3 linked regions of the Rhinolophus ferrumequinum genome follow. The protein of the gene in region 2 interacts with the protein of the main gene of each other region in a biochemical or structural test. Links are inferred from orthologs where the notes say so. Each region holds a gene or a part of one and is shown on either strand. Other genes may lie near its edges. The genes, in order: SH2D1A, CD244 and INPP5D.

What was found.
Region 1: the proteins of CD244 (region 2) and SH2D1A interact in a biophysical measurement, tested with the Homo sapiens proteins (2 studies listed by IntAct). The link is inferred for Rhinolophus ferrumequinum from reciprocal best matches to the Homo sapiens genes CD244 and SH2D1A.
Region 3: the proteins of CD244 (region 2) and INPP5D interact in a biophysical measurement, tested with the Homo sapiens proteins (2 studies listed by IntAct). The link is inferred for Rhinolophus ferrumequinum from reciprocal best matches to the Homo sapiens genes CD244 and INPP5D.

The regions. Positions count from the first base shown.
Region 1 is NC_046284.1:32,676,399-32,687,308, forward strand, and holds the start of SH2D1A (SH2 domain-containing protein 1A), read right to left. Parts: upstream 4,398-10,910; 5' UTR 4,311-4,397; coding exon 4,174-4,310; intron 1-4,173.
Region 2 is NC_046305.1:2,209,199-2,219,455, reverse strand, and holds the start of CD244 (natural killer cell receptor 2B4), read left to right. Parts: upstream 1-5,352; 5' UTR 5,353-5,551; coding exon 5,552-5,612; intron 5,613-10,257. UniProt on the Homo sapiens protein: Heterophilic receptor of the signaling lymphocytic activation molecule (SLAM) family; its ligand is CD48.
Region 3 is NC_046291.1:5,844,117-5,854,972, reverse strand, and holds the start of INPP5D (phosphatidylinositol 3,4,5-trisphosphate 5-phosphatase 1), read left to right. Parts: upstream 1-6,146; 5' UTR 6,147-6,303; coding exon 6,304-6,437; intron 6,438-10,856. UniProt on the Homo sapiens protein: Phosphatidylinositol (PtdIns) phosphatase that specifically hydrolyzes the 5-phosphate of phosphatidylinositol-3,4,5-trisphosphate (PtdIns(3,4,5)P3) to produce PtdIns(3,4)P2, thereby negatively regulating the PI3K (phosphoinositide 3-kinase) pathways.

The sequences.
Region 1 (10,910 bases), on a different chromosome or scaffold from region 2:
AAATCAATGGGGAAGAAAAGTTCTATTTATAAATTATACTGGGACAATTGTTAGCTATTTCAAAACAAAAGCAAATTAGATCCTTTCTCTATGTTAAAATAAAATTCCAAATGGAATTAAATAGTTAAATGTAAACTAACCAAACCATCACTTTAAAACAAAAACTGAAGTGAAGTTTCATGACATCTCTGGAGGAGAAAGAACTTTCTAAGCTGGAAAGCAAAGAAAGAAATCAAACATCAAGAAAATGTGTGATGGATTTGATTACTAGAAATGTCGATTTTTGTGTGTGTATCAAAGAAAAGTATTGGGAAACACCAAACTGAGAAAAGATACTTGCAACAGATGAAGGATTAGTATATAAAATCTCATAATGTGTTAAGAAAAATAAAAAAAGATCCAAATGGTTAAATGGGCAAAGTACACAAAGAAATTACAACAGCTTACTGACCATATAAAAGACACTCAATCATTAATCAAAGAAATATGAAATAAAGAGTGAGACACCAAATTTGAAGGAGAATTTTTTTAAAACAAGAATACCCATTTCCAGGCCGGGTTCAGTGAGACACTCTCATGCATTATTGGTGACAGTATATATAAATTGGAAGAACCATTTAGGAAAAAAATATTTGGTGATCATGTATACATAAAGAATCCTAAACTGTGCATGTTTTCTGACCTAGAAATTGTACATCTTTAAAATTCATTATAAAGAAGCAATTACAAATACAAGGAAACTTGTATGGACTGAAATATGAATCATAATGCAATTTATAATAGCAAAAAGAATGGAATTATTCAAATGTCTAAAAATGGATGACTAGTTAAGGAAAATATAGTACATTCATTGGTTGGACTATCATGCAGCCATTAAAAATAATGTTTAAAAATCATTCGTAAGAACATTATATATGAATGGTTATTTTTTTCATGTTAAGTGGAAAACACATCAGAATACAATATTGTAAGAGCATATGTGTGTTTACAAAGCAATTTTTAAATTAATATATGGAGAAAAATCGACTTAATATTCAATAATAATTGTCTTTAGGTTATAAAACTATAGACAGTTTTCCCCTCATTTGCATTATCTACATTTTTCAAATTTTCTATAATATGAATAATCAGAAACTATTTTTAATAAACTGATTACACAAAAATCTAAATTTACTTATTGAAAATAAAAGAACAACTTCTCATTTTAAATAAAGGTGTGCAGTCCTATAAATGGAAAACTTCCTTAGCACTTGATGAGATTCAGTTTCCCAAAACTGAACAGAGAAAAAGGCCATACCTAAAGGCCATGACTGGGGGTTCAGAACTCGGGGAAGGAGCAAGCATATTTTGAAAGTGTCATTTACAGTTTGAAGGCATATGAAATGTGTTATTTCTACAATAAAATACAGAAACTGAAGCTCAACCAAACCTTGGATAATGCGAGTAAACAAAAGATAGAATGAGAAACTATTCTGAGCAAACCCTATAATCAGTGCATGTTTGTTAGCTATACCTTCTTGTTCATGTATCTATGATACCATTTACATTGTTATTCCTGCTGCACATCATAAGCATATACATTTTGGTTTAAAATGAGTACATGGTTTATTTCAAAATAAAATGTGATTTTGTTACTACAGCATAGTACTGAAATGGGGGAATGAAAGGTTTATGTTTATCAAAAGGGACCTTTGGCTCAAAAAAGTTGAGAACTTATAAAAGGCAATGTATCTGTGTGTCTTGCTTCTGCAGCATGGTCTAACAGTCACCATCTAAGACTTGGAGGCCCCAGTGTGTCCATCAAAAGATTCTCGGGGGACTCCTAATTTGCCTGCTATTTTATGCTACTTCATAAGGAAGTTTGCATGGAGAACAAAGAGTCATAAAAACTGCATTTATGCAAGATTCACTTTGGGCGAAAACTTAAATGTTTTAGAATTCCCCACCTGCCTAAATTAATTCCATATGTGATCTTGGCCTAAATGGGCAAAAGACTAAAGTTATCCTTATATGTTGCATATTTTACCAACAGCAATCTTATGCAGAAGGCAGGGCAGACAGCTACTTTACAAATATGGAAACCAAGACCCAGAGAAGTTGAGTGACTTCTCCAGAGTCCACATGCTGGCCTGATTATCAGTCCATAGCTCTTTGTAGTAAAGAACAGCATTTGCTTTGACAGTTCATTCATTAATTCAAAAATATATATTGAGTGACTATTATGTGCTTTATGATGCTTTTTATGTGCCAGGCTATGTTCCTGCTGCAGGTGACAATGTCCCTACTTTCATGGAGATTACATTTTAGCAGGAGAGCCCAGCAATAAATAAGTAAACAAACAAATCTCAGATAGTTTAAAGCTCCTTGAAGAAAAAATAGAATATAACAAGGACAAGGAGAGGGTACTTATTTTAGATGAGGTGATCAAGAAAGTCCCCTCTGAGGAAAGAAGCAAGAGCAACAGTAAGGACGAAGACCCTAAGGGGGAAGCATGCTTGGCAAGCTTGAGAAACAACAAAGATGACAGTGTGGTTGAAGCCTGAGGTGCATCTTGCTACACACTGTCCTCTGTTCTCCCTCCCTTGCCCAGGCTTTTTTTGTACCTTATTTTTTACCTCTAACTTAAGGGGCCCTCCTTTGTCAGCTTTCCTAAAGAAGCCCCTTTCATGACCCACTCACTCCTCCATCATCTTTTGATAATAACAAGGCCTAAGAATACTACTTGGCTTTCATTGACCTTCCCCAGTTTCTGCTTGGGAAAAACAATAATATAAGCAAAACATAAAGCTCTGAGCCTAAGAAATTCAACAGCTTCCATTTATTTCCTTTAAAGCCTTTATAATAAATGTATTTAGCATGTCCTGAGAGTTACCACAAGCGTGGCTTGACCATTAAAAAAATAAAGTAAACAATGAAAATCCTCTATTATCAGCCTCAGTGTAATCTTTCTTTACTGACCCAGAAGGTACTTCAAAAGCTTGCAGTACATCATTAGTTACCAAAATTACTACCAAGCATTTTCCCTTATTTTGTTTCTGTCTAGAACCTACTGTACAAGCAGCTGTTTCCATGGGTGTTTTTTTTATCATGCTGACAAAATGTAATTGAGCTAGTTACTTCCTTAGAAATGCCCCATGAGTACTAAAAGAAATTGACTGGGAAAAAAAAGGAATATAATAATAATAATAGCTTACATTTACTGAACATTTACTATCTCTCAGGTCCAGTGCCAAAGTTTTACCTGCATTATGGCATTTAATCCTCACAATCCTATGAGGTAGGTAGTAATATTATTTTATGGATAAGAAAACTGAGAGACTGAGAGGTTAATTGCTGAGGTCACAAACCTAACATTAGACTAGCACAGGATTAAGTGTCAGGTCTGTCTGACTCTGGAGCTCTGGAGCAAAGATGAAGTTGCATCTGATTAAAAATAGGACGTTAGACAAAAACATGGTTAGATAAAGGGCAAAAGTGATTCATAACAAAGGTGTTTTCCCTCCAGGTCCTTTACAACTATTGTCTGTCCTAACTTTTATTAAGAAAGGGTCCTGTCCCACACACAACTCCTCTAAAGGAAGCTAAATAAGCAGATCCAGAAAGGCAGTTTTACTCACAAACATTCTCCTCTCAACCTCCTACCTAACTGACATTGCATTCTTAATGTATTAAGTTTCTTAGTGTTCTTCCCCTCCCTGAATTTGATGGTCTTCCTTTGGGATGACACCTTCAAATACATTTAAAGAGAGGTGTAGAGAAGCCTTTTCTTTTGTCAGGAGCTGCTGGCCCCAAATCTGGCCACTCCACCATCCCCGGGCTCTACCTTGCCGGCCTCTACTAGAGGTCAAAATGGAAATCAGGAGCCTGGGTGTTTCTCGGAGCAAAGGTAAATTCTAGGCTGTGTTTGCCCACCCAAAGTGGCATTCACTGCCCTCAAAAGTTACTGGGGAGGACTTTCTGGAGAGTGAAATCCCCAGTGAGGGGACTAAGCTAAAGCATGGTCCACCATAATCCTGGGCTGGACCTAAATAAGCCTTAGGGGCCATCGGATGGGCAGTGGAAGAGGCTGCAACCAGCTCCTGTGGCCCACACATTGCCTGGCCCTGCCACTCATGCTCACTCCCAGTGCTCACCCTCTGCAGTCCCTAGACCCAGCCACCGCGACATACTCACAGCACACACAGGCAGTACACGCCTGGGACACTTTCGCTGTCCCTCAGCAAATAGCTGCCATCTAGACCGGTGGCAAGCAGGAGTTTCTCCCCTGTCTCCCGGCTGATTTTGCCATGATACACAGCCACTGCATCCATGGCCTGGTGGACTCTTGGGCGGGCTGAGGCGTGGGACAGCAGAAGGGATGCTGCTGCTGCTCCTGCTGCTGCTACTATGCACGAGTCAGCCACCTGACTCCCAGTTAGGCCAGATGTGCAAAAGAGAGAGAGGAGCACCAGAACAACAGGATGTTGTCTACCTGCCTTAAAACCTCCTTCTCACACTTCAATTAAAACCAGCTCAGCAATTTAGCAGCTTGATTATTGCCACAGTGTTCGATCCCCTACCTGCCCCACCCGCACAACAGAGGTTTCATGTGGAGAGGGGAAGAAAATGGGAAGAAGGTCCTTGCAAGATTTGGGCTGTACTACCAAAGTGTACACAGAGGAATGCTTGGTAATACTTTGATTCTAGCAGTTTTCCCAGAGGCTAGCAGGATGACAGCTTAACTAGTTCCCAAATAAGATGATGATAGAGGCAAGTTGTACATGTCCTTCATGGGGGTCAGAAAAACACTGACAGAGAATGAAAGTACCAAAATCTCTGAGACAAAAACTCAGAAGCTGTCACTACTATCACTGTGTAATCACTATTGAGCACAACCAGGAGGGCCCTGCGGCAAATACTGATTTTTTCTCCTTTCTTGTCCAAGTTCCCAAAGTGCTGGTTGACATTCAAAAATCAGTCTATGTCTGGTAACTGGTCAAGATGGGGTGGAGTAGGTAAATATTGTGCTCACATCCTGCCATGAGCACCTCAAAATTACAACTAAACTACAGAATAACCATCATTGAGAATCACCTGAAATCCAGTTGAAGAGAAGTCCTATAATTAAGGATATACAAAATACGTCACGTTGAGACTGATACAAGGAATGGAGAAATAAAATGAGCTGGTCCCAACCCACGTGTGGCAGTTAAAAATTGAGATAAATATCTCCACTGCATAGGTCCCCTGTGAGAAGTGAGGGGTCCCAGCCCCAGGTCAGGCCCCCCAACCCAGGGTTACAGTGCCTGGAAGAGAAGTCACCTTAACTTCTGGCTGTGAAAACAAGGGTAGACTGTGGCTAAGTGAGACAGAGGGCAGCTGGAGTCCCAGGTGTTCCTCTTAAAGGAAATGCATATGGATTTGCTCATTGACAGAATCACTCCCTTTGAGCTCCAGCACTATGGCAGCAGTTTGAAAGGATTCAGGGACATAGAGGGAGGAAATGAATTGTCTGGCTTCAGGGCAAGAGCTGGAGGACCAACTTTCTCCCAGAGAGAAGTGCTGGCAGAAACCATTGTTTCTTTGTTGAGTACTCCTACCTCTCAGAATGCAGACACAGGCAGCTGCTATACCTGAGTCTCCAACAACCTGGCTAACACCTACCGTTGGCCCTGCCCTGGTGTTTCCCTGAGACTCCTCCCTACCCAACTTTCAGGCTCACCCAAGCCACTTCCAGTGGCTTTTCGATATGTCATGCAAGGTGTCAGGTGGGGTCTCGAAGTCTTGCTCCCCACATAAGAACACAGGACATGGTGAGTGCTAATTGCACTCTGCCGTGCTAACTGCAATATGCGCTTGCCAGCTCGGCCACCATCCTCTTGCTAGGCCCCCGACTTTCTGCTAGTGTAGCCACAGCAGTTATATTAGTGGCCAATGGCTCACTGGTTATAGCTGACCACCAACTAGCCACAGCTGATGGCCATCCAATCACAGTTGATAGCCATTTATTACCTGAGCCAGCACCTTTCCATGTGATACTGAGAGCCTGGAAACTGCAATCCTGGCTCTGTCCCCACACCATACAAACAGCCTGTCTTGCCTCATGCTGTAAACTTTCCTCAAATCTCTCAAACATTCACAAACTGCAAATAAGGAGCATCTGGCCTCATGGTGCCTCATACCTCTTGTTAAACATCCCCAAGCCCAGCAGCACCCAGCCTTTCTTTACAGCTTAGCCTCTCCCAGGAACTTCCAAGCCAAGTACAAGTGGCAATTATCTTCAGATTACTTTGTAGCTCATGCCAAGTGGCCCCAGGTAAGGCACAGGCAGTGACTGAACTTGGCCTGCAGCACAGCCACTCCAAGAGGCCCCAGAATCAACACACCCAGTTGCCAGCTTCAGACCACACTAGAGCACCACCCAACCACCTCCATAAACAACACACTCAAAGGGAAGACTTGGCAAGTACCAGAGCTCCACTAAAGAGAATCCTGCCCTGTAGTGTCAGCCTCCATAACAGCTCCTCCACTGTAGTCATGGCCAGTTCTCACAACTAATCAGCCTGAAGTTCAATCCCTCCCATTGATATGCCAACATCACCCAAGGCTCAACTACAACAGGAGGGCACACACAACCCACACAAGGAACACACATGGAGCACTCAGCTCAGTAGACCAGGGAGACGGTACCACTGGGCCCCACATGACACCTGCTACATAAGGACATTCTACTAAGATTGGGAGACATAGTAGCCCTACCTAATACATAGAAACAAATGCAGGGAGGCAGCCAAAATGGGGAGACAAAGAAATATGTCCCAAATGAAAAACAGAACAAAGCTCCAGATAGAGAACTAAACAAAATGGAGACAAGCAACCTACCAGATGCAGAGTTCAAAATACTGGTTATAAGGATGTTCAGTGATCTCAGTGAGAACTTTAACAAAGAGATAGGAAACATAAAAATGGAGATAGAAATAATAAAAAAGAACCAGAATTCTTCAGAAATGAAGAATACAAAAACGGAAATGAAGAACACATTAGAGGGAATCAACAGTAGATTAGATGAAACAGAGGATCGAGTCAGAAATTTGGAAGATAAGGTAGCAGAAAGCAGCCCATCAGAATAGCAAAAATAATCCAGAAAATTAGGATAGTTTAAGGGATCTCTGGGACAACATCAAGCATACCAGCATTCACATCATAGGGGTACCAGAAGGAGGAGAGAAAGCAAGGAATTAAAAACTTATTTGAAGACATAATGACAGAAAACTTCTCTAACATGGTGAAGGAACTAGACATGCAAGCTCAGAAAGTATAGAGAATCCCAAGCAAGATGTACCCAAAGAAGCCCACACCAAGACACATCATAATTAAAATGCCAAAGGATAAAGACAAAGAGAGAATCTTAAAAGCAGCAAGAGAAAGGCAGTTACAAGGGAGCTCTCATAAGACTGTCAGCTGATTTCTCAGCAGAAACTTGTAGGCCAGACAGGATTGGCATTAAATATTCAAAGCGATGAAAAGCAAGGACCTACAGTCATGATTACCTAGCAAAGCTTTCATTTAGCATCAAAAGATAAAGAGCTTCCCAGACAAGAAAAAGCTAAAGGAGTCATCACCGCCAAACCAGTATTACAAATATTGTTAAAGAAACTTTATAAAGAAGGAAAAAAAAAGATTTAAAATATGAATTATAAAATGGCAATAAGAACATATCTATCAACAATTACTTTATATGTAAATGGATTAAATGCTCCAATCAAAAGACATAGGGTGGCTGAATGGAGAAGAAAACAAGACCCATACATACATATGCTATCTATAAGAGACTCGCTTCATATCTAAAGACACACACAGACTGAAAGTGAAGGGATGGAAAAAGACATTCATGAAAATGGAAATAAAAACAAAGCAAAACAAAACAAAAACAAAAAACAAAAAACAAAACTGAAGTAGCAATACTTATACCAAACAAAATAGACTTTAAAATAAAGGCTATAACAAGAGGCATAGAAGAGCGTAGTAATTCCACTTTTGGGAATTTATCCGAGGAAACAAAAACATTAGTTTAAAGGGACATGTGCTTTCCTATGTTCATTGCAGCATTATTTACAACAGCCAAAATATGGAAGCAACTTAAATGTCCATCATTAGATGAATGGATAAAGAAGAAGTGGTACATATATACAATGGAATGTTGCTCAACCATAAAAAGAATGAAATCTGGCCATCTGTAAAAAACATGGATGGGCCTAGTGGGTTTATGCTGAGTGAAATATATCAGAGAGAGAAAGACAAATATTACATTATTTCACTTATATGTGGAATCTAAAAGCCAAAATAAATGAACAAACAAAACAGAAACAAAATCATAGATAACAGAGAACATTTTGATGGTTGCCAGATAGGAGTAAGGATGGGGGAGATGGGTGAAGAGGGGAAGGGATTAAGAGTTACAGATTGGTAGTTACCAAATAGTAATTGGGATATAAAATACAGCATAGGGAATAAAGTCAATAATATGGTAATAACTATGTATGGTGTCAGATAGGTACTAGATGTATCGGGGTGTTCACTTCGTAAATTATATAAATGTCAAATCACTATTTTGTACACCTGAAACTAATATAATATTGTATGTCAATTGTAATTGAAAGATTCTTTTTTACTTTAAAGATCAGTCTATGTCCAAAGATGTTCTAATTTTATCCATTTGATGAGTCTTAAATGAAAGCATGAATTATTTAATTGGTGTTTTGTTTTTACCTGAACTTGTACGTGCTTTTTGATGTATAGGACCCTCCTTTCAGCATCTGGGGTATAAAACCTGCTTTAAATCATATTGCAAGTGTGGATAATTGTATTGTAACTTTTGTCCTCTGTTGTTAATAGAGAATATGTTTTTTCTTTAGGTGATGCTAAACTACGTATCATCAATTATTTTAAAAACCTTTCCATCTTCATTTCCTTCTCTGAAATAAAGCATTTCTTCTATTTCAAAATGTGCTGTTAGGTAATATTTCCCAAAAGTGTCCTCCTTTTTCACTAGAATAAGACTTTGTTTAATGCTTGAAGCTGAATGGTCTTCTATATTTTTCCTTTTGATTATGTAAAATTCTTTTATAATTGGAATTTAAATACCTGAAGATATGTTGTCTGTTGTATCTTTCACAATTTCAGTACCGAGTGCCTTGAGAACATGGCAAGGCTGGGAGCTCAATAGGGAGAACAATTTTTAAATTCTCACATGTCCTACCAATGGATTGGATGCACATAGCTGCCTTGTACCAATGGCAGATATTTGCTCTACCTACTGGGCTTGAGAACAACTAAGATTTCTGTGACAGCTGGTGGTAACTCTCCTATCCTTCATGATTGAAGCATGCTCAGCCTTAGGATCTATCAACCTTAGTAAATACAGTATAAATATAAGCCTTCCATAGTCATTCACAACACCAAGAATAAAAATAAATTAATTAAACAGCATTTGAGATGATATTTGGGGATGGCTCTAGGGAAGTGAGCCAAGATTGTCTCATTATCTTCCTACCTCATTTGTTTATGGCTAACTTCATCTTTCACCTTTTTGCATGCTTTGGGTCAAGGAAGAAATCGGTCTGATAAGTGAATGCATACACCAATATTAAGTGAGCTTGAGAGATTAGTCTGCCCTGAACTCTTTATATTTTGAGCGGACAAATGACTAGCTGAAAGAAATTTATTCAAAATGGTGGAATTTCAAACATGAACCGAAGGTAAGGAAGAAGATTCCCTGTTCAGTGAATATGGACAACAGCCCACCTGTTGAGGTAAACTGTGAGAATATTCAGTGTGGCACAGGTAACAGCAAAAGCCAAGCTTTCCTTGAACAACCTTGAACAAATCATCCACAAACTTAAGAACAGAGAAACCTAGATCTGACAGCAAAAACATGCCATGCATTCTTCTTTTCGTTCTGTTTTGTTAGGTGTTGCTAAAATAGCACACCTGTCAAAACAGCCAGGTACAATGGAGTTCAGCACAAGTAAAGTCGTATTTAAAAAAAAGAACAGATAAATTATAAGGTAATAGTACAACTCACACGTCCAGTACCTCATTGTCATCTCATAAGCGAGCTGACAGCTGAGTGAGCCCATTATTGCAGTGTTGATGAAAAACGCTGATATCTTTACTCTAGTGCTACACCAGTGCTAAACCTGACTTTAACAAATTTAAAACTTCACCCTGAGCTTAAATGTAGAGAAAGGGAAATTGAAAGGACTCTCTTCCTTTTCTCTTGCCATACTCACAAGAGAACAAAGGGGGTAAATGAAAGAGGGGAGCAATGAAGATAGTGGAGATACCAATAGAGGGTTAGGAAGAATGGGCCCCAAATACAAGTATAATCCACTTATAAGCAGAATTATCTGATTGTTTATTGTCTGTCTCCCCCACAATAACATAGGGTCCATGACAGCAGGATTTTGTGTCTGTATCAATGCCTGCCACATATTAGATGCTAAATATATTTGTTGAATGAGTGAATGAATTAATGAAATTAGTGCTCTCAAGAAAATAAGAGAAAACTACACACACACACACACACACACACACACACACACACACATACAAATCCACATGCTTGGCTTTATAGGAAAGCCAAATGTACTTTAGAGAGAAACAGAGGAGAAATGGACTGAGCTCATTTGTGTGCAAGAAGCAATAGCTTCTCACCAGATAGAGGAAAGATTTTTGTTCTTGTTATTTATAAATGGTCTAAGAAACAAAACTCATGAGGTGGAGGAAGAGAGCTTCACAGTTTAAAGCTAACTATAAACTTTTAGAATATAGATGCCATTTAAATCAAATATGAAAGCATTGACAAACTGTCAGCCAAAGTTGAAAGTGTATTTTTAGGTAACCTGTCACCCTCTGAGGCCTCTGAAAAG
Region 2 (10,257 bases):
CCCACCTACCACCGTCCCCCAGTCTATTGATTAACTAGCAAGAGCACAAATAAGGAGTTTTCTAGGGTCATTTTGATTATTTCTGTGGAGGATACTAAGTACCGCTTTGCTGTACTCCGCTGCCTGATCTGGAAATCCCAACAGAGTTTGAGTTTTGTAGCAAGGACCCAAAAGGAAAAACAGGACCAATCAAACCATCAGGTCAGGGTCACAGGCGAACAAAAAAAATTTTCCAGGTGGAAGTAAAATCAAATTAGACAATAAAAGCAGAGATGATGGAATGATTCAGTAAGCATGAGAATTGTGAAGTATGTTTCAGTTCTGTATCCTGTTGGGAGGTGTGAGGAGAGGCCCAGGTGGCTCACTGCCCTGTAAGTCTCCTCACACCCTAGGCCACTTGTGAGGAGGAGGCAGTTGGTACCAGCCTTGGTATTCACCTCTGCAGCTTGCAGCCGCCCCTTTGGGTTGGAAAACACCTTGTCTGCTTTCATTGTATGATGTCAAAACTGATTTTTGTAATAAATGTTTATTTTTCACATTGAGTTTGTTTATATCCTGAAGTTCTACATTAAAAGAATTGGGACTCCCAGAGTGATGTATCCATTCAAAATCCATCTAATAGTTTTATTGATCAAGAAATTAGAGAGAGCCTTCTCCAAGCCTTGATTACACTTTAACGTACCCTGGGTCTGTGCTTGAATGGGAAGGGTTGAACTGCACATTTCTCATGTGAAACTGAGACTTGGGAGATGGGGAACAGGGCATTTTCCTGGAGATTGGGATTTTGAGACATGAGCCCCCGTGACCAGGGATTAATGATTGCGTGTAAGGATGTGTTCTCATCTGCACTGTATCTACAGGTCAAGGCCAGGGGAGGAAGAGGAGGGAACTAGGTTGGTCCATTTCTGAGTGAGGGGACAGTATGTTCTATGGGGCAGGGCGACAGCTTCAAGGGGATGAATGACGAAAAAGAGCAACTCCACTTGAAAAGAATTCTGTAGCTCCTCCAATTTTTCCCTTTTTTAAAAGTAGATATAAAATTCTAGTATGAAATGGATCTTCTTTCCTCTTTTGGGGTAACTTGTTCAATGATTAGAGGCACAGAAATTACAAGGAGCTTGCCTGAGTTCACATAACCAGTACTAGGCGAGTGGGACCTCTGGGGTTGGGACGGGGGAGGTGCGGGGGTGGGGGTGGGTGTGGGCGGTAGCAGGGGGAGGTTGGAGCTGGGAGCCCAATTCCTGCTCTCAGTGACCCTGAAAGGAAAAAGCAGGAGGAGGAGCCAACGCAAGGTAACTTCCTCTGTACAGGTGGGAATGTGGGTCTTGGGAGAGAGGACAATTAAAGTTTTGATGTGACTGCGGGTTTCCTCTGAGCTGTGACCGTATCACGTGAGTCTGCCATCCCAGCAGGATCTACTGGACAGAGACAAGTGAGCTCTTGACAAAATGGGCCTGTGAGTGCCACCTTCTGGAGTGAAGGATGAACTGCATGCATTTTTGCTGGTGACTCAGATGAAAAGGTATGTGCGTCATATTTACCGATGGCAAGCAGTTAGAGACGGAAGGGCAACCTCAGCAGCTTGCAGAATGATTTTAAAAAAGATCTCAGTAGACAGGAATGATAAATCCCGTCGTTGCCGACGGCACTAGATCCTGAAGTAATGAAGTTCTGTTCTAGGTTCCACACTGAAGACAGGTACAGACAAACTGAAATATGCTCATAGAAAGTGATGTGGACGGTAAAGGGAATTAAAAACCATGTCATACAGAAACTTGTAAGAGAAAGGAGAGGATGAAAACCAGGATGTGACAAGTGAAGGAGCGGGAGGGTGTGGTGTGGGGAGACCCATCCCCTCCGAGTCGTTTTATAACAGCACTTAAATCCACTTTCTGTTTCTAGTTGATTGTTAAACTATGCGGAAATAATGAAATGGTGGTGTTCAGTCATTATTTCAGTAAGTAGTTGGTATCACCAACTTCTTTGAGGGTGGGGGCTGTGTTCACCGAGCGTGCCCAGGGTCAGGCGCGTAGTGCTGTCCATACGTGGTGAATGAATAAGTATCAGGTTCCAAAATCAACATCAGTCAAGCTGAGTGACAGCTGCTATGTTGTCTGTCACCAGCATTATCACCTCTTGTCATTTGTATCGAAGTGAAATGAAAAGCAAAAGGGAGCCGAGGGACAGAGGGTCCCAGGCCCAGAATTTTTAAACGGTGGCACCACAAATACTTTGTTCTTGGTGTGTATGCAGGTCCAGAGGAGAACAAAGTGGCCTCATTTATTTGTCTCTGGTGAGCTGAGTCCTTTACAGGGGGCAGCGCTATTCCTAACCTCTGAGCCCAGTTTATGGTTTAAGGTGTTGAGGTGGCCGCTAAGACCCCATTGAAACTTTCCGCAGGGAGACCTCAGCCTGTGCAAAATAAGGCTAAACATTGAGAAGAGGTCCCTTTCCCTGGAAAGGGGCCTGGCAAGGGCAGTGTAGGGGTTGAGTAGCAAGGAGAGCCCCCATGGCTGCAAGCCTTTCTCACCCCTTCTCTCCAGTTTTTTGGCAGCACTCTTAACGGACTCATGACCTCTTACTCTGTTGTGATGGGGGTTCGTGGCAGGCTGCCCCAAATGTGCCCCTTTGGTATGTTTATTATGTGGGTTAAAGTTACTTTAGTTACAGAGACAGCCAGTTCAAGGAGGACACACTGACCCTCCTTTGTCCCCTGAAAGCAGGAACTCAGTCTCCCCTGTCAAAAGCCCTACCCTCCCTGCACCAGGAGGTGGGGAGAGACTCGGAACGCAGGGCTAAGAAGGCTGTATAAACAGACCTTGTTACTTCAGTAATGTGCTGCTCCAAGCCCAAACTTGTTTGTCTTGTCAATTCTTCACAAATGTATTGGTTCCTTGTCTAGAAGGTATAAATGCTGCCTGCTTTGGTGCTTTGTGTACTCTCATATAAGTTCCTGTACATACGAAATTAAAATTTGTTTTTTCCCCCCGTTTATCTGTCTTATGACAATGATTAGGTCAGCAAAAGAACCTATAAGGGTAGAATAAAAAATTTCCGTCCCCAAGTTTGCACACACAATACCTGGAGCCAATGTATATGTTGTAGGGGAAGAAAAAAAATTTTTCCCCCCCTTCCTGTTCTAGGTTTTCCAGTGGGGCCTATAAATTAGACTGACAAATGACAGGTTAACAAGAGACAAACACGTTTAGTAACGTGCATCATGCTTACACAGGGAAGCACTGTGAGATGAGTAACTGAAAGCAATGTTTAGAACTACGTTTACATAACACTCTAACAATAGTAGAATTTTAGAGAAGTGACAACACAAAGAAAAAGGACTTCAGGTTTCTCTGGTGGCAGATTGTGGAAACGAATGGAAGACAGGGACCACACAGGTTTGTTATGTAGATTCTTCTGGTGCTGTCTCTGTGCCAAGGGTCTAGAGAGTTGTCTTTGGTGATTAGCTTCTGTCCTTGCTGGTGGATAAGAGGGGACACCTTTACAAATTTATGTTCTGCCTTTAGGCCAATAGGGGAGGACAGAAGGATTTATTATTGTGATGATTATGAATACTCATTAGGTTTCAGTTACAGCTGACACTCTGTTGTTTTACGTTAGTGTCAGGTGTACAGCTTCGTGGTTAGACATTTATGTGACTTACGAAGTGGCCCCCCTGGTTAGTCTCGTGCCCCCCTGACACCACACATGGGTATTACAACAGTATTGACTGTATTCTCTATGCTGTTCTTGACATCCCTGCGACGGTTTCTTTCGTAACTACCAAGTTGTATTTCTTAATCCCTTCGTTTGACCCTTCCCTCCAACCTCTCTCACTTCCAGAGAGAGAGAGAGCTTTTCTTGTACCACTTCTCAGTTGCCTTCAGCTCAAAATAATATGCCAAAGTTGCCCGTTCTGGGTGTATTCTGGACATATTCGATGTCTTTTTTTTTTTTCTTGAGAGGAGTACCCCATGAAACACAGGTTGAAATCCTTAAAGATGTTCAAGCAGAGAAATGGTGGGGTTATTTTGCGTGAAACTGTCACAGATAAAGGTATGATCAACATGACACTCTTCAGTGCTTGAGATAAGAGATTCAGGTGGAAAGCAGCCTTTTGTGTCCCCTCACGGAGCCACAAGTGCAGGTGCCACTGAGGAGCCGACAATGTGGGAGTTGTTCCGCGGGGAGGGGCAGTGGTTGGCGGGGGCAGCCTGGGCTGAGTTTGCACAGAGCTTTGCATAGTGTTGAGCTGGAGGACATGCTTTAGAATGATTTAAACGCACTAACTCATGTTGTCCTCACACCTAAGAGGAAGGTCGTATTGTTATCCCCATTTTCAGATGAGGAATTGAGGCACAAGAAGGTTAGGTGCCTTACCAAGGTCACAAATCTGAGTAGTGGAACCGTAATGCTAACCCCTGATAGACAAGGCTCCAGAGCCTGAATTCTCGAGCCCAGTCACTATTCTGTGTCCACCAAGGTCTCGGGAACATAATTGTGTGTATGCAAAGGAGCTAGTGGAAAGCTTCCCTAAGCCAAGTCTTCATCTTTGCTCCAAATCCAGTGCTGTGTTCTTCTCCCTCTCTTGGCTGCCAGGATTCAGTCTGGCCTCTCAGCCCAGTTCCAGACAAGGTGAGTGCGAGTGGATCACAGGATGGAAAAAGGAAGGGTTGTCCTGAAGGGAACTGCAAGTATTTGCTACTAAAGGGAAAGAAGAAGAAAGAAAAGGGCTTGGGACCCTGGGCTGTGGCCTCCAAACCAGTACGTCCTGGGGGGACGTTAGAATGAACCCCTGACCCTCCCTGGGCTGCCTGGCCTCTGGAGTGTCCAATTGAACTGTGGATGGGAGAGCACGGCAGATGTGCGCCTCCATCCCATGTGGTGAGGGAGGGGAGACCTAGGGGAAAGCAGAAAGAGGAAGGGAGGGAATTCAGCACAGATAGGGAAATGAGCAAAAGCAAATTCTTCCAGAACATTTGAATTTGCATGTGCTTCAAATTAGGGATCAACTTGCAGAGAACCCCTGGGCCTGTCAGGGTTTTCTAGTGCCCCCTACTCCTCTAGTATTGCACCCACTCAGCTGAGGTCCCGCTTGTCAGCCCACACTGTCCCCAACCATTCCCCCTCTCCCTTCACAATGTCTGTTGGAATGAGAGTCCAGGATAATGGCTGGTCCCCATGTAGGTTTCTCCATACTGCCAGTGGGATGAAGAGAATTGGAAAATTTCATGGGTTTCTGCTCTGCGGACAAAGCCACTGGGTGGGGGTAGAGTGAGAGGCAAGATTTTGAAGCTGGTTTGTGAGTCACTGAACCCCCAGTACCCGCCCACTTGAGGCCAACCTAGCAAGTTCCGTTGTGAGAACTGTCCGACCGGGTCCAGGCATGGGGCTGTCTCTGCAGCCTTGTCGGCTGTGAGTGAGAACAGCCGAGTTGAGGAAATTGTGGCCAGACAGGCAGCGAGGCAGTTCTCCCCCTCGTCCCCTGTGCCTGGTGGCTGCACACAGCGTCTGCTGGGAGCCGTACAGCCAGGCTGACCCTGTGTCCTGTGGGATGTTGGGCCAAGCTCTCAGCCTCACGCTCCTCCTGCTCCTTAAGGGGCATCAGGGTCAAGGTAAGGGGCCCGGCCTGGCCGGCGGTGGGGCCGCGGCCCATGGGGAGGTCAGCACCCAGAGCCTCTGACTGGATCTGTGACTCGAGCAGCCCTAACAGGTCTGGACAGGCTGGCAGTGGACTTTGGGAAATCACTGAGAAGCTCGCTGGCTGTGGCAGTCAGCAGTCCAGGCAGCCCCAGGCAAGGAGGTTGCTTTCCACTGACTTCGGGTTCCCTTCTGCGTGCGGAGCATGTCCTTCCTGCCGGCTGTAAGAAGGAGCAAAGGAACACGAATTCTGTGGGGTTGCCAGAAGAGATGAGGACTGGCCCCGGGCTTGGGTTTCCCTAGGAAGTCGTGCTGCTCCCTGAGGCAGGGAAGCTGAGCAGGACTCAGGCTTTCCTGTACAGGTCGTTTGTCCTCTAGCTCCTGTGGCTTCACAAAGCTACAGGAGCCTGAGAATTATTGGGGAAATGTGAGGCTGAGGTCGGGGGCAGAGATTGGGAGAGAAACGGATAATATTAGGATGCCCCTTGTCCTAATATTGTCCTAACATTAGGGCAACGTTAGCAAACCACAAACTGCCAGCGGGATACCAGGCCTGCTGTTTGCTGGGTGGGGCTCTCAGCCCAGGGCACTTTTCCTCTTCCACCCACTTTGAGACTTTGAGCCTGCATTTTAGGTCAGTGATTCTTGGAGGGGCATCTTGGGTGGCGTGGTGTGAGAGGTGGGCCCACTGGGGTGCAAAAGGAGGGAACTGAGGCACAGGGGGTGTTTGTCCAGGGTCTGTTAGGAAGCTGAGGTAGGACTGACAGGATCTGGGGCCTGGCTTTGGGGCTAAGAGTGCCAGAGGGTTGAGGCTGAGATCATGAGCCTGTGTGACAGGATGGTGGTCCCTGCACCCCGAGTCCAGGCTCCAGCCCTGTCGTTGGCTATTGTGCAGGGGGCTGGGAGGGCTTCCTGGGGCAGCGGACGCATGGACTTGATCTGAGGGGCCTTGTTTCTTTCCCTGCCAAGTCCTCTGTCTGTGGGGCCGGCCTGGTCAAAGGTGACTGAAAGCGCTCTGTTTATTTGTTTGAATTTTTAAACATTTTAATTTCAAATAATTTCAGAGTTGCAGAACAATTGCAAGGATAGTGCAAAAAAATTTTGTATTTCCTTCACCTAGGTTCGCAGTTGTTAACTTTTTATCACATCTGCTTTCTTTCTTGTTCTTTCCGTATATATGTGTATGTGTATAACGTATGATGATTTTTGTTGGACCACTTGAGAGTAAAGCCCCTTTGCTCCCACGTATTTTGGCGCACAACCTGTAAGCAAGGACGTTTGCGTTTCCTACCACGTCAGCAGAGTGATCAGAGGTGGGAACCTCGACGTGAGCGAACTCACAGTGCATGTTCAAATGTTGTTGGTTTTCGCAGTAACGTGCTTTATGGCTTTACTTTTTTCCCATCCAGAATCTAGTCAGGCTCGTGTATTAGATTCAGTTGTTTTGTGTTTTACGCCTCTGGGATGGCCAAGCTTTCCCCGCGTTTTGTCGCTGACGGTTTTGGAGCTCTGGGGACGGCTCCTCATTCTGGGTCTGCCAGACGTTTCTGTAAGTGATTCAGGTACTGTATTTTGGGCAGGAATACTGCAAAAGTGATGCTGTTCATTGTCAGTCCCATCAGGAGATGTGCTGAGGGTGAAACTTTTTCTTAAAAACTTGGTTTATTGAAGAATTTAATATGTGAGATACTGAGAGGCTCACGTCGCTGTCCAGCTTTGCAGAAATCTTCCAAGGGCTCCTCACCCCACAGTGAAAGCCCTACATTTTACAGAGGTCTGCGGCCTCCTGGTCTCGTCCTTCTGCTCTTACTGCGTTTCAGCCACACCGGCCTATGGGCTCACTGTCCCCGGTCCTACGCCCTCAGCATCGTCCCTTTCCACGTGGCTTGCTCCCTCTACCCCTCTGAGTTCAGCGCAAACACCAGCTTCTCGCCCTGCCCCCCCGACCCCTGCCCCCCCCCCCCGTCCTCTTTGCCCCCCCACCCCCCCTTCCTCTTTGCCCCCCCCCGCCCCCCTGCCCCCTTTGCCCCCCCTGCCCCCTCTGCCCCCTCTGCCCCCCCCAGCCCTCTCCAGCTGTCCTGCAGGTCCCAGGCCCTCTGCAGGTCGCATTCCACCCTGTTGACTTGCTTATTTTCTGTCTCCAGGCTCCACTGTGTCACCAGAATGTGAGTCCCTTGGGGCTTCTGTCTCTTTTGCTCACTGCTGTGTCTTCAGCATTTCGAACAGTCTCTGGCACAAACAGACCCTCAGTTCATATGTCAGAATGAAAGAAAACTTTAAGTAACCCAGGGAATAAAGTGAGCTTATCTATGGGCTGGACATGCTCTGGGGAAAAGCTGTTCCCGACGTGTGAGCACGTGCTACCTCCCAGTCTTGAGCCCTTCAGCTAACCCTGTCTTCCAGCTTTTCAGGGGAAAATGAGCTCAGCGTGGTGCCTGCTGCACAGGGATGTGCAGGGTTAGGGCGGATGTGCTGTAGAAAGTGCTTAGAAAAATGTGGAGGTCTAACAAGTCCCCAGGTGAGTGCTCATGTTATTCGGTTCTTTGGAGGCAGGACATATATTTATGTCACTTAATTGTGTGATCAAAGGCAAGAGACAGACTATGCAGTGACCCTTCACTGACTAATAAGCTGAGTAGAAAGGGATAAGCCGCGGACGTTCAATGTGTGGTTCTCTGAGGGCTCCTCATTGTCACACCCAGGCTCTCAGGGAGCCTCCAACATTTTTAACATAAAGGAGCGTGTGTTATCATTCTTACATCGTACTGTAAAACATGCTTACTGTTCTCACAATATCACCTCCCTTTCTGTCCCTGTCCCCATGTGTGTGTGGGCAGCTTCGTGCCAGGTGCTGGGTGGGCACTGAGGACTCGGGGTAGGTCCATGGCTCCCGTTCCAGAGCCGACGTCGTCGCGGGATTTCTGTGTAATCCCAGTTGTGACTCATGTACACTGAGCCCATCAGTGCTCGGATCATGTCAGTTGAGTGAAAGAATGAGTTATTTTCAAGTGTCTCAGGCAGATTGGGATGATTTGGGGGTCAGATGAGTTGGAGACCAGGGACCTTCACGTCACGGCCCACAGGAGAGGGCCTGAACCCTAACGTTCATCTTGGACCAAAGGTCAGGCCTTGGCTGCACATTCTGAGGAAACCACAAGGGACACATTGGAGGCTGTGAACGCCCAGGGGCTGTGGGCACAGAGGTGGCGCGGGCAGCATGGGGGTCCTGCCCTGAGGGTGGCCGAGTTGCACTCACTTCCCAGAGGTCTGATGGCCGCTGCTCGTGCTGGGACTCAGGCAAGTTCTGAGAAGACAGCGTGGTCGGGCTCATCTCTTCCCATCACAACCTGTCAGTGATGAAGCAGCTGGGCATGAGAGAGCCTGGGATTCGACTCAGGGCCACCCTGCAGGAGCCTGCTTCTGGGGAACCAGAGTGCTGGGGTGACCAGGCCATTGTCTTAAACAAACCTTTATTATTGAGGTGTGACACGAACAGAGAAGTGCATGTGACTGTCGTGGGCATCTCTGAGTGGCTGCTAGATGAGGGCAGCTCCGTACGCACACAGGCTTTCTCCCCTTTGTTCCCTCCCCCCGCCCCGCTGCCATAAGCACAGTCACTTCTCTGACCTCTGACATCATAGGTTGGTTTTGCCGTGTTTAAGTGGAATCGTACGGTGCTGTTGTGTTTGTCTCCTTTCCTCTCAACATCTGATGGGATGTTATCATGTTGTTATCTGTGTTGCTGTCTGTATTGTTATTTGGCTGATCATTTTCACAGCTGTGTAATATTTCATAGTGCGACTATTGGATAGTTTATTCACCCATTCTACTGCAGAGGACACTTTGGGCCACTTGCAGGTTTTCTGTGATAACGCCATGTGAGCCTTTCATCCTGGGGGCCTGCAGGGGCGTAACCCTGTGAGGCAAAGGCCGGTGCCCAGGGGACCGCGTGTCGGCGGCCTCCATGAGGAAGTCCTCCATCAGAGTCGTTTCCGGGAGTTACCGAGATGCACTCTGGGATTCAATTAGATAGTTCACTGAACATCATCAAGCCTTTATGTTACAAGAACTATGCAAGAATTTGTGGGGGAACAAAGATGAGAAAGAAGATGTTGATTCTGTTCATAAGGCTCTTTCAGAGGGAACTAATCATGTAAAATCACAACTATAAGGGAAGACAGGAAATGCTGAGTCGCTCACAGGGAACGAAGAGACCAAGATTCCTTCTAGATGGGGCACTGGGGAAGTGTCCTTGAAGGATAAACAAGAGTGGAGGAGAAGGGACAAGGACCGTGTAAGCGAGGGGGGCAGCCTGCACAGAAGCAGGGAACACACAGGGTCTGAATGGAGCCGTGAAAGGCAAAAGCACTTGTTATCTTGGAGAAGACTAGTGTCACATCTAAATGACGTGGTCCAGTTGACACACAAGGATGGAGACGTGGGTGGGTAGGTTTGCCAGAGGGGAGGGGCTGCGTTGCCTGAGAAGAGTTGGTATGTCAGTATGCAGCCTCCAGGGTCGGGCGTGGGCTCTGGAGGTCACTCTTTAGGGTTTCGCCTGGGCTGGGGCCCGCCTGCCCCAGCACTGTTGGACGCTACTGGGCTGTGTGCTCTCAGGACCCA
Region 3 (10,856 bases), on a different chromosome or scaffold from region 2:
AATTGCTCAGAAGAGTCTGATGGGATTGAGGCCGGAAACAGGAGGGTGGGTATGTTTTTTGTTTTCGGCACATCAGTGAGGACTGCTGGCTGCTGAGGTAAAGAAGAAGAGGAACAGAATACGAAGCTGGGGAGGAGTTGCCACGTAATCTCTGGGGAAAGTGAGTGGCTGTTGGCAGAAAATGCATTTAGGAAATGCAGTCACAGGCCCTGCCAAGGAAGGGTTGTCATGATTCAGGCTTGGGAAGTGTTCGGAAGCAGAACAGAGGTTGGAGGCAGCTCAGGGGCCCGGGGAAGTGGCCGCCCCAGCACCAGTCAGCAGCAGCCAAGCAGAGAGCTGCTGTCTCCGGAGTTTGGCAAATCTGACCCCAGAGGCCGAGAACCAGAAGGGGTTGGTTGCTATGACAACGTGGTTACCTTGGGGAGACCACTGGTGTGTCTTGCACCAGGTATGGGCTTAGTTCCACAAAGATGCAAATCTGTAAGGTCCGCCAAGGCCATTGGGCCAGCCCCTTCACGCCTCATGTTCAGCCCAGGAGACACACCCAAGCAGCTTTCTTGGGAAGGGACTGTTTACATTTTGTTAAAAATTCAAATCATGTCTTAAATCCAAGGAGGACAGCTCAGTTTTAAATGCCTGCTGTGATGAAAGTCGAGAATCCTTTTGAAACACAAGTTACCAAGGCCTGTTTTTTAAAGTCTATTTCAGAAGTGGGGTTTTCATCCGTGTCGCTTTCTTCAGGATGGCTCCTCTAGGCTGAAGGAAACAGTAAGCTCCGATTCTCCTGCACCATGGGTATGGCAATTGCCGCAGCCACTTTAGAAGACAATATGGCACAATTAATCAAAACTGAAACTGTGCACCACCTTTGAACCTGAGTTGCTCTTCGGGGGGTATTTATCTCTGACTGCACAGGACCCAGAGACACGGCCACGTGTGTACACTGTGGCATGGTTTGTCATAGTAAACGCTGGAAACAATCTAAGTGTCCATCAACAGGAGACTGGTACCATTAATTATGCTATGGCATGGAATGGTATGCTGGCTTTAAAAAAAAAATGTGGTAGGCACAAAAAACCACCACAACATGTTCAGAAATATTGTTAAAGTGAAATAAGCAAGGTGCACAGCAGGGTAAAAAGCAAAGAGGCCTTGCAAAAATATGGTATATGCATAGAAGGTTTTGCAAGAATACACAAGAGGCTGGCCTGGGGGCAATGGGGTTAGGGGTCTGGGAGGGCAGGAAAATGTAGTTTTCATTGTGCTGGCTGAATTTTTAATATGTATTACTTTCAATAAAAATTTAAAAAAGATCCCAGAGAAAAGTCATTCTCTTCCTTATGACTCCCTAGGGATGTGTGTGTCTTTGGAGAGGCTCCCAGCCATGTACATAAAGCCACGCTGTGCCACAGGATTTTATACACCCCTTCTGGAATTGGAGTTGGCTTGTTATTTATTTAATTTTTATTATTATAGAAGTAGTGTGTGGTCATAAAGGAGTCTGGAAAAGTAGGAGGAAGGAAAAAAAAAAATGCCTGTAGAGATGCCACCTAACTCAGCACTTTTCATAATCAGTGATTTCCCAGTATACACTTTTTTTTCCATAGTTAAAATCAATATTTCTTATCGGTTTCCTGATATTTTTCTTTCTTTTTTCCTTTTCACTTACCATTGTATTATGACTATTTTCCTTAACAATCTTGGCAAAAGACACAAGATATTTTTGTGGATGTGATTCTCCCTTACTTGATTCTTGCCAATGTCAAACCTAATTTTCCTTGTTGTAGTTCACCCGTTTGATTTTCCAGGATCTTCAGTGAAAGGGCAGAATGGCTCATTGCCAGGCCTTTGGTAGTCACGGGACGTCATTCAGCGCAATTATGGACTCTGTGGGACCTTGGACCCCTGGGGAAATCTCCTTCATCCCTGTTGGCATCGTTGCTATGGGAACACGAAAGTTGGGGCTCTGCAGAGCGTCACACCTGAACGCCTGGTGGAGGCTAGAGTTTGAGGCTCCCCCTGGTGGCGGAATCACCAGGCTCAGAACCTGACCCATTTAGGTTATTTTTAGTCGGAGATACAGAGGGCTTTATAGAATCCTGTCCTTTTTCAAACCAGGGTGGATAAGCCAATGGCGAGTGTCACTGACCCTGGTTGTGTGCTGGAGCCCACGGACGCTCTGCCCTGCAGGCACTGGTCTGGAGGGCCACCTCGGAGACCTGCCTTGTCGCGAGCACCTACTTTGCACGAGGCATGTTACGTAACTTCACAGAGTCGCAGACTGAGATTCAGACGCCAGATATTTGTGGCAGGGCTGGGACTGGGACCCTGGTCTCACATGTGTGTAATTCAAGGTCTGATTTGCACTCTGAAACAGTTACCAGAGATGTGGAGGGCACAGGGTGGGCGGGTTGTGAACCGAGACCTCACCCTCCCACTCTTAAGGATGCTCCAGGCCGCCGTCTCAGGGACGACTAAACCAAATCAGAGCCAAATTTGTGTGTGCCGGGGTCCAGGGAGAGGATCCGGAGAGGCCAGCTCCAAGAGGCCAGGAGCAGAAGTGGAACTGGGACTCAGTGCGAGGGAAAGTGAGGCGGCGGGATCCTGCCACATAAGCTCATTGCTTTAACACTGAAGGTTTGTCGGTTCTTCCTAGAACTTCTAGAGATGGCCAAGTGCCCGTGCCCTGATGCCTGGCAGCCCACCCTGATGGTGCTCACTGCACTGACTTCCTAGAAATTTTCCTCCAGTGCCCGGGACTGGCCAGGGTTGGCAGTGTGGTTGGGTAGGCTGCCTCAGCCTGAACATGGGCCCACATGAAACATGACCCAACTTTTCCCCTTCAGCTGCTCTCCAACCCTCTGCCCTATGTGCGAGGTTGACCAGATGCCCCCAAGGAGCCCCGGGACTCAAGCCCATGGGCTCTTTTTGGAGCCGTATGACTGGGTATGATTCAAGGGAGCAGCTTGAGGAGCAGATCATGCTTTCTGACCAGTGTGGTATTTCTTTTGTGTGATGGCACAAGATTGGGCTGCTGGGATGGTTCTGAGATGCTGATTTTGGATGGTTCTTACTGATACCGAGCACAAGACAAGTTCAGGGCTCTGGACAACCCATAATTCATGGCCAGTCCCTGGCCTTGAGCTGTGTGGGCCCCCAGGTCACCCCTCACCTGCAGCGTTCCACCCATGGTGCTGCCTCTGTTCAGTAGCACTAAGGATGGCAGAGATGGCGGCAGGTGTTATTTACCCTCGACACGCCTGCCAGTAGTGCCTGGGCACTCATTCTACCCCCTCTGGAGGCGCCTGTCCAGCTGTCAGGCCGCGTCTCCTCCAACGGCTCGCGAGACCATTGCTCTGCAATACCCATGGGCTCCTCCAATCAGCTCACATGAAGCCGTCCAGGATGCCCGTAAGCAGGCCAGGTGCGGATGCACATTCCTTGAGAATGGGACCACTCTCATGTGTGCAAGGCAGGGGTGTGGTCATCAGTGAAAGAGAGCACTGGGTAGCAATGCAGTGATTATGGTCTAAACAATTCACGAGAAGCTGGTTAGAAGATGTGTTGTTCTCCGTTTATGCTACGAATGTCAGAACAGTAGCTTTAACATGACTACAAAATCACGTACCGTTAACATTTTCTCACACGCTCTGGGCAAGACACGCATCTGTGTTTATCCGTGAAACAAAGAAACAACCTCTGAGGGAATTACCGGAAGTCGGTATTCACGGGTGGCGTGAGTAATGGTGCCACCAGCAACAAATAAATAGTGTGGGAAGGGGGCAGAGGCAAGGATGAACAGGTGCTGAAAAGCCACGACATTGTGAAAAATTGCAGCACTGTTGACTTCATCTCCCTGCACAAGATATGAAATCAGCCAGGAATAGTGTGCTTGTCAGGAGAAAACAGGACCTGAACAGGAAGAGAGGACCTGGACATCACTTCATATGCACCAATTAGACATCGAATATATGCGTACTAACCTCCTCTTTATCCATTATTCTAAACCTTATTCAATAAATCACTCTACCTCAATGGATCCTTCGATTTCATAACAGTTCTTAGTACATTGTTTTATAGATAAGGGCCCTGCAAAAAAAAATATTTACCTGGCCCCCACCTGCCGTTAGGGCAGCCCTGAGCGAGAAGTTGGGGTTTTCTGAGCGTGGGGGGCTCAAGGACAGGGGGACAAGGAAGCTGACCATGTCAGATGGCTCAGGCAGTTGGGTTGGGAAGGAAGTGAAGATGGGATGGGCCTTAAAAATGAAGGAAATGAGTGTCATGTGTGTGTCAAAGGGAAATCACACTGGAGTCAAATGGCCAGGACAGTCCCACTGGCCACCCCCAACTCTGCAGAGATGTGGGACTCAATGGGAACAGAGGCGTGAGGCAGGGAGGGTGGGAAGCTGGAAAGTGTGGGGGAAAGATGGTTCTAAGAGTCTTAGACGTGCTGCAGGTTCTCTAGGATGAGTTGGTCAAGGTACAACGGGGCCAGGATTTCGGATGGAGCCTCCTGATGGACCCTAGAGTGACCCAGGGGCTTTGAGGCTGAGAGCAGGGTGGAAGTTGGTGCGGGTCAGCAGGGAAGCGAGGAGAAGGGTGCAAAGTGCATGATGGGAGCATCCAGGTGAGGTAAAGCTGAGGTGCGGGGAGGGACTTCTGGGGAGCCGGCAGACACAGGGTCCGGCTGGTTGGGGGAAGGCCAGAGCATGGAGGCCAGCGCTATGCCCACTGTGTCCCCTCCCCCACTGAGGGCCTGCCCAGAGGGCCCCTGATACAGGCTTGCTGAAGGTTTAAAAGTTCAGTCCTTGGGTTCGGTGGGAGGAATGGGGAGGGGGCTTGGGAGGCAGAGTGAAGACTGGACTTCTCTGGGCTCACGTTTCCCAAAAGGAACTTCACCTGGAGCCCAGAGAAGGCCTGAAGTGGGGGGCCACACTTATTCCGGGCCTCAGAATCAGGACGGGGTCAGTCCACCCGGATGACAGCACTTTGCTCACTCAGCATCACCTGCATCGCATGCTGCTGCAGGCGGGAGGTGCTGGCGCTCCTTGGCTCACGTGAGCTCCTTTAGGGGCTATTTTCCTTAAGGTAGAGGCCTGGCTTGGGCCCTGGAGGGATTCTGCTGTCATGTCCTCCGGGGTGAGGCCTCGGGTTGGGAGGCCACCCCCTGTGCAATAGATCAGAACTTACCCCTTTACCTGGTGGGCCTGATTCAAGGACTGAAGGCACCCAGTCTGGGGCCCAAGGGGCAGGTGCCCACTTTGGAGCCCTCAGAATCTGCTGGTCCTGGCTGGTGGCCTCATGGAGGCAGTTCCCCTTTGGGCTGTGGGCAAAGGCAGCCATGCCTGGCTGCCCCCGACGCTGCTGAGCTGCAGGACTCAGGAAGGAACGTCATTCTTGGTCAGGTGGCCAGTGGGGATACGTGGGTTTCCCGAATGTTCTGTGAAGACCCAGAGGTGAAAATTCCAGCCTTTATTCATGCTGCCATGGAGGATGTGTCGTCCAGTTTCTTTCAGACCCACCAGGCCCAGGGAATGAGTGTGAAAGTGTCAGAGAGCTCCCGTGTGGGCCCTCGGAGGCATCAAGCAGTGTCACCCAAGGTCCTCCCAGCAGCCAGGGCTGTCTGGGGTCTGGATGGCCATGAACCTCCAATATGGAGAGGAGGGCTCAGCTGTAACCCTCCCCTCCATTTTGCTCAGACCTGGGCCAGGCCTTAGCCCCAACTGAGAAGGTGGACCCGGAGCCTCTGTGCCTCGGGTATGTTGGGGGGAGGGCACAGGGAACTGAAAAGCCCTGGGGTAGGGCAAGAGGCTGAGGGATCTGTCCAGGAGGTGGCCATCCCACGTGGGCATCGGGCCAGGCCTTGGAATGGCCGCTGCTTTGGCCTGTCCACACCTGCCAGGCCACTCTTCTTCAGAAGCCAGCCATGAGCCTCCTGACACCACAGGAGCTGCCAATTCCCCTAGGACTTGAGCTGGCATTTGACCCTCTGGGGACTGGGACTCATTAGAGGAAAGAAAAAGGGCCTGCGAGTGAGCGGGAGGGGGCGCAGGCTGGGGATGGGTGGTGGAGGACTGGGCGCTCCTCCGGCTGGGTCTCTGCAATGAGGAAGTTCTCTGCAGCTCGTTTCCTTTCCCTCGCCGAGCGCCTGAAACAGGAAGTCAGTCAGTGAGCTGGTGGCAGCAGCCGGGGCAACAGAGAGGGGACAGACGGCAAGTGGCCGTGCAGGGGCCTCACTCCCCGTGGTGGCGTGTTGGTCCTGGGGGTGGCCGCCGGTCCGGCCCGAGGAGGTCCACGCCCGCCATGGTCCCGTGCTGGAACCATGGCAACATTACCCGCTCCAAGGCAGAGGAGCTGCTCTCCAGGACGGGCAAGGATGGGAGCTTCCTCGTGCGTGCCAGCGAGTCCATCTCCCGGGCCTACGCGCTCTGTGTGCTGTAAGTATGGTGTTGCCCCCGCCCAGGCCCTCCGCCGGGGCCTGGCCTCTCCTGCCCGGGCACAGAGATACGGAGGTGTCACTCAGAGAAGGGAGGCCAGCCTGGGCCTAGCCAGGGGCCCGGCACTGAGACGGGTGGTTTCGTGTCACGGGACAGAGTGACCTGCCTTGCACACTTCCCGGGTTTGTTGGTGAGCCTAGGTGAGGTTTCCTGGGACTTGCAGGCCTGGGAGTTTGGGTTTTGCCATGTTAGAGCTCTCCAGAGCCACTCTGAGGCCTGGTCACACACCCCGGCTGCCCATAGCTATGGTGCCAGGGTGTCCTCAGGGTCTGGAGTCAGGAGAAGGGGTCGGGGCTCTTTGTGGCAGGCAAAGCTCAGGGCTCCATGGTGGTGGGTGTGTCAGAAAGCAGTTCGGTGTTGGTCAGAGATGCCCAGTGTGCAAATCCTCATGGAAGAGCAGATGTGGCAAAGGGGACACTTCCCATGCCAGGTTTCGAGTCCCTGGAGGAAGCTGTTATAGGGGAACCATGAATATGGGGTGGGTTCACTGAAGAAAGGACTTTCAGTTCACCCAGAAGTGGCATCCTGGGCCGAGAGCAGAGGAAGTCACCACCACAGGCAGTTTTATCCTCACGACAACCTGCAGTGCGGGTCCTGTTATCACCCCACTTTGCAGATGAGGAGACTGAGGCGCAGACAGGTTAAATGAGTGACAACAGTCAAATCCAAGGCCATCTGCTCCCAGAGGCTATCCCCAGACAACCAGACTTCTGCCACCCCACTCCTGCCCCTGTCAAGCCGAGTGTGAAGATAGATTCCAGGTGACAGCAAGAGAGCCAGAATGTTTACAAGGGCCAGCTGGCAATACTTAGAAAATAACCCAGGTTCACAGCTGGCCCGCTGGCTTGAGCTCTGACTGCGTCAGAGGGCCCACCTCCCAAGGCCAGCTTCCTGCACCGCCCCCGCCCGCCCCCACACACACACTCAGGGGAAGGGACACAGGCCTGGATTTCCCCACAGGCACTGCCCCCATGGGGACCCACCAACAGGGCTTTGGAAAGAGTAAGGAGATACTGAGCCGACTCCACTCAGCCCAGGTGGATTTCTCCCCTGCCCCAGCGGGCCCTGCATCCAAGGCTGATTCATTAGGTGTTTGCTGTATGCCAGCCTCCTGCAGAGAGCTTCCAGGGCACCTGCTGGTTAACAGGCATGATAGCCCTTTGACCAGGAGCTGTGGCTGTGCTCAGGCTACACATATGGATGGAGGGTCCCTCTGATTCCAACTGGGAGCATCGTGGCCAGTCAGAGCCAGAGCTAGGACCAGAAGCCTTGGGAACCCCTCATCCGACGGCCCCTGAATTTGCAGGTGAGCAGATGGAGCTCAGAGAGCTGGAGTCCTTTGTCCACACTGCCCGTTGGCTGGCAGCAAACTGGGATTCAGGCCTGGTTTCTGGAATTCACTCTCTGTCCCTCCCCTCCCCTCACCTGCACTGAGTTCTCAGACCTGTGGCAGACGGGCGTGGTCTGCACCTTAGCAAGGGTGCCCAGGCTGCCTACAGACGTTCACCACCCTCTAAGCTCACGCCTGGACTCCTTGTCAGTCTCCATCCTCAAGGTCCTGACACCAGGGCCGCTTGGCCAGGCCTTCCCCCCCAGCCCAGGGCTCCCCTTTTCCTCCGCTCTGTGGGTGAATCCACACTTCCTGCGGGCTCAGGAGCCACTGTAAGCTGAGGAATACCATGGACCACCAAACTTCCCCAAAACCTGGGCCACCTCATTTTGCTGCTACCCTTAATTTTGCTAATTAAGATTTAAAAACTCAGTGACAATTAACTGCCACCTTCCAACAGCTCATTTCATGAAAGAAAGCATCCTTTAACACCAAAGAGGCAAAAAAATAATAATAATAAAAGCCAGTGTTTTTAATCAAATAGATTTAACTTCCTGAAAAACAAACTTCACCACCCTTATGTTCTCTGTTCCCTGTGGACCGGTCAGTGGAAAGCTCGCCCCACGCCGTCCTTGGTTCATGGCCTGGTTTTGGGAATCCTGATGGGTGAAGAACAGCTGGGCTTTCCTCCGTTTCAGAAGTGGCAGGCTTCAGCCCTCTGCTATCTCTCTGGAAGTCAGCCAGGTGCAGGGACCCTGAGTGGTGTGGCTCTGGGGTCAGGGCCGTTTAATAACCTTGCTCTAAAAGTGAGCCAGGACTGCTGAAGGAAGCCACAAAGACGCTCCCCCCTGCTCTAGAAATAGCCATATGGAAAAGACCTCACAGCCCAGGGTGCCCACACCTTATCCTGCCTGGGCCCCAGGGGCCAGGACTTCTTCCTGCTCCCCTCTGGTGAGTGAGGGGACAGCAGGAGTCCATCTGATGGTTTAGGCGGCTGTGTGTGGAGCTCCAGGAACTAAATGTAGCTTCCTTGGACATGCTCAGGAGTGAAGACAGGATTTGACTATTTAAATGGAGCCAGGAAGGGGGGTGGGGGGCACCAAAAGACAAGGCTGCAATTCAGTGCTGCCCAGGTGACTTGAGTACACAATCACCCCAGGCCTAGCAAACCCGCATTTCCTCTCAAGAGTCAGCCCTGCCACCTGCCACTGGGCAGGAAAGCTCAGATCTGTCCTAAGGCACTCAGAAGTCTTGCTTTAGGGGGACCCTAGAGGCCTGTCTTGGGGTACAGTGAACCCCAGGGAGAAGACCCCAGGCAGCCGACCACATGGCTGCACAGGGTTTGAGTGGGGTTGGGAACAGGCTGGAGAGGGGACCCCTATGATGGAGTCACAGAGAGGGCCTGGGAGGTCCAAAGATCCAGGAGGTGCAAAACGGTTTCCTGAGGTGTGAACGGATGTGACATAATCCTTTTCTCTCCCTCCAATCTTTGTGCAAAGCTTCAGTCAAGTTGACACTGCTCATTAACTACTGTTGTGCAAATGCAAAGAAAAACAGTTCTTCATATCTGGTATTAAAAGAAAGTGGGCGGGAATGCTGGCACAGACAGTAGCCAGGAGCCAGAGCTGGAGAACCTGGGGTTCCTGAAATCTGGTTTCCATAAGAGTTTGTGCACGACCAGGAGGGAATGGAGGCCCCGAAAGCTGACGGAGTTAGTGGGTTCGTGGTATCCTCTGTGTGAAGTGACTCATAACAAGCGTGGTGACGTTGAGTGTCTCCAGATTTTCTGTGTCTGTGCCCAACACCCCAGAGCAGTTTTTCCACCCAAGGTTTCACAAGCTTGCCTACCTGACAGGTTAAACTCACCTGTGCATAGAACGTCACCGCTTCTCCACTGAATGGTCCCATCTCCTGGAGCGTGAACCCAAGCATGGTGATGAGATGTGGTCCTCCTAGCCAAGCCTTCCTCTTTGGCCCAGTGATGGAGTGAGAGGAGGTCCACTCTCCCTCCCTAATTCATGCCACATGACGCAGTCCTTAGGGGAAGCCCTCTGTGCTTGCCTAGGTCTGATGCGAGTTCTAGCATCTGCGAGACGCTAGCTTCCTTATGCCCACACAGCTTCCTCATTGGTGAAACGCCTACTTGTTGGGTTAACTTTTTTTACTGAGGTATAATTTACATCCCATAAAATCACTCCTGTACAGTGTACAATTCCGTGATGTTTAGTACATGCATGATGCTGTCCAACCATCACCACTAATTCCAGAACATTTTCATCATCCCCCCAGAAAACCCTGGCCCATTACTGGTCACTCCCTATTCTCCCCCCTCCCAACCCCTGGAAACCAGTAGTCTACTTTCTGTCTCCAACCATTTGCCTATTCTGGATGTTTCATATTAGTGGAATCATACACTATGTGGCCTTTTGTGTCTGGCTTTTTCCACCTAACAGAATGTTTTCAAGGTTCATCCAGGTTGTAGCACGAATCATCCCTTTTTATGGCTGAATAATAATAGCCGACTGTATGGATACACCACACTTGATTCGTCCGTTCATCAGTTGATGGACGTTTGGGTTGTTTCTATGTTTTGGCTCCTGTGAATAATGCTGCTGTGAAAGTCACGTCCAAGTTCTTGTAGGGACATACGTTGTCTGTTGTCTTGGGTGGAACCACTGGGTCATATGGTAACTATGGTTATCGTTCTAAGGACATGTCGTACTGTTTTCCGTGGCTGTGGCACCATTTTACCTTCGCAGCAGCAGTGTATGAGGGTTCTGAGTTTTCCATGTCCTCACCAACACTTGTTATTGTCTTTTTGATGATAACCATCCTAGTGGGTGTGTGCTGGCATCTTATTGTGACTTTGATTTGCATTTCCCTAATGATGAACGATGTTGAGCTTCTTCTCATGTGCTTATTGGCCATTTGCACCACTTCTTTGAAGAAATGTCTATTGGTATTCTTGGCCCGTTTAAAAAATTGAGCCATTTGTCTTTCTGTTGTTGTCACTGGATGACTGAGAGGAT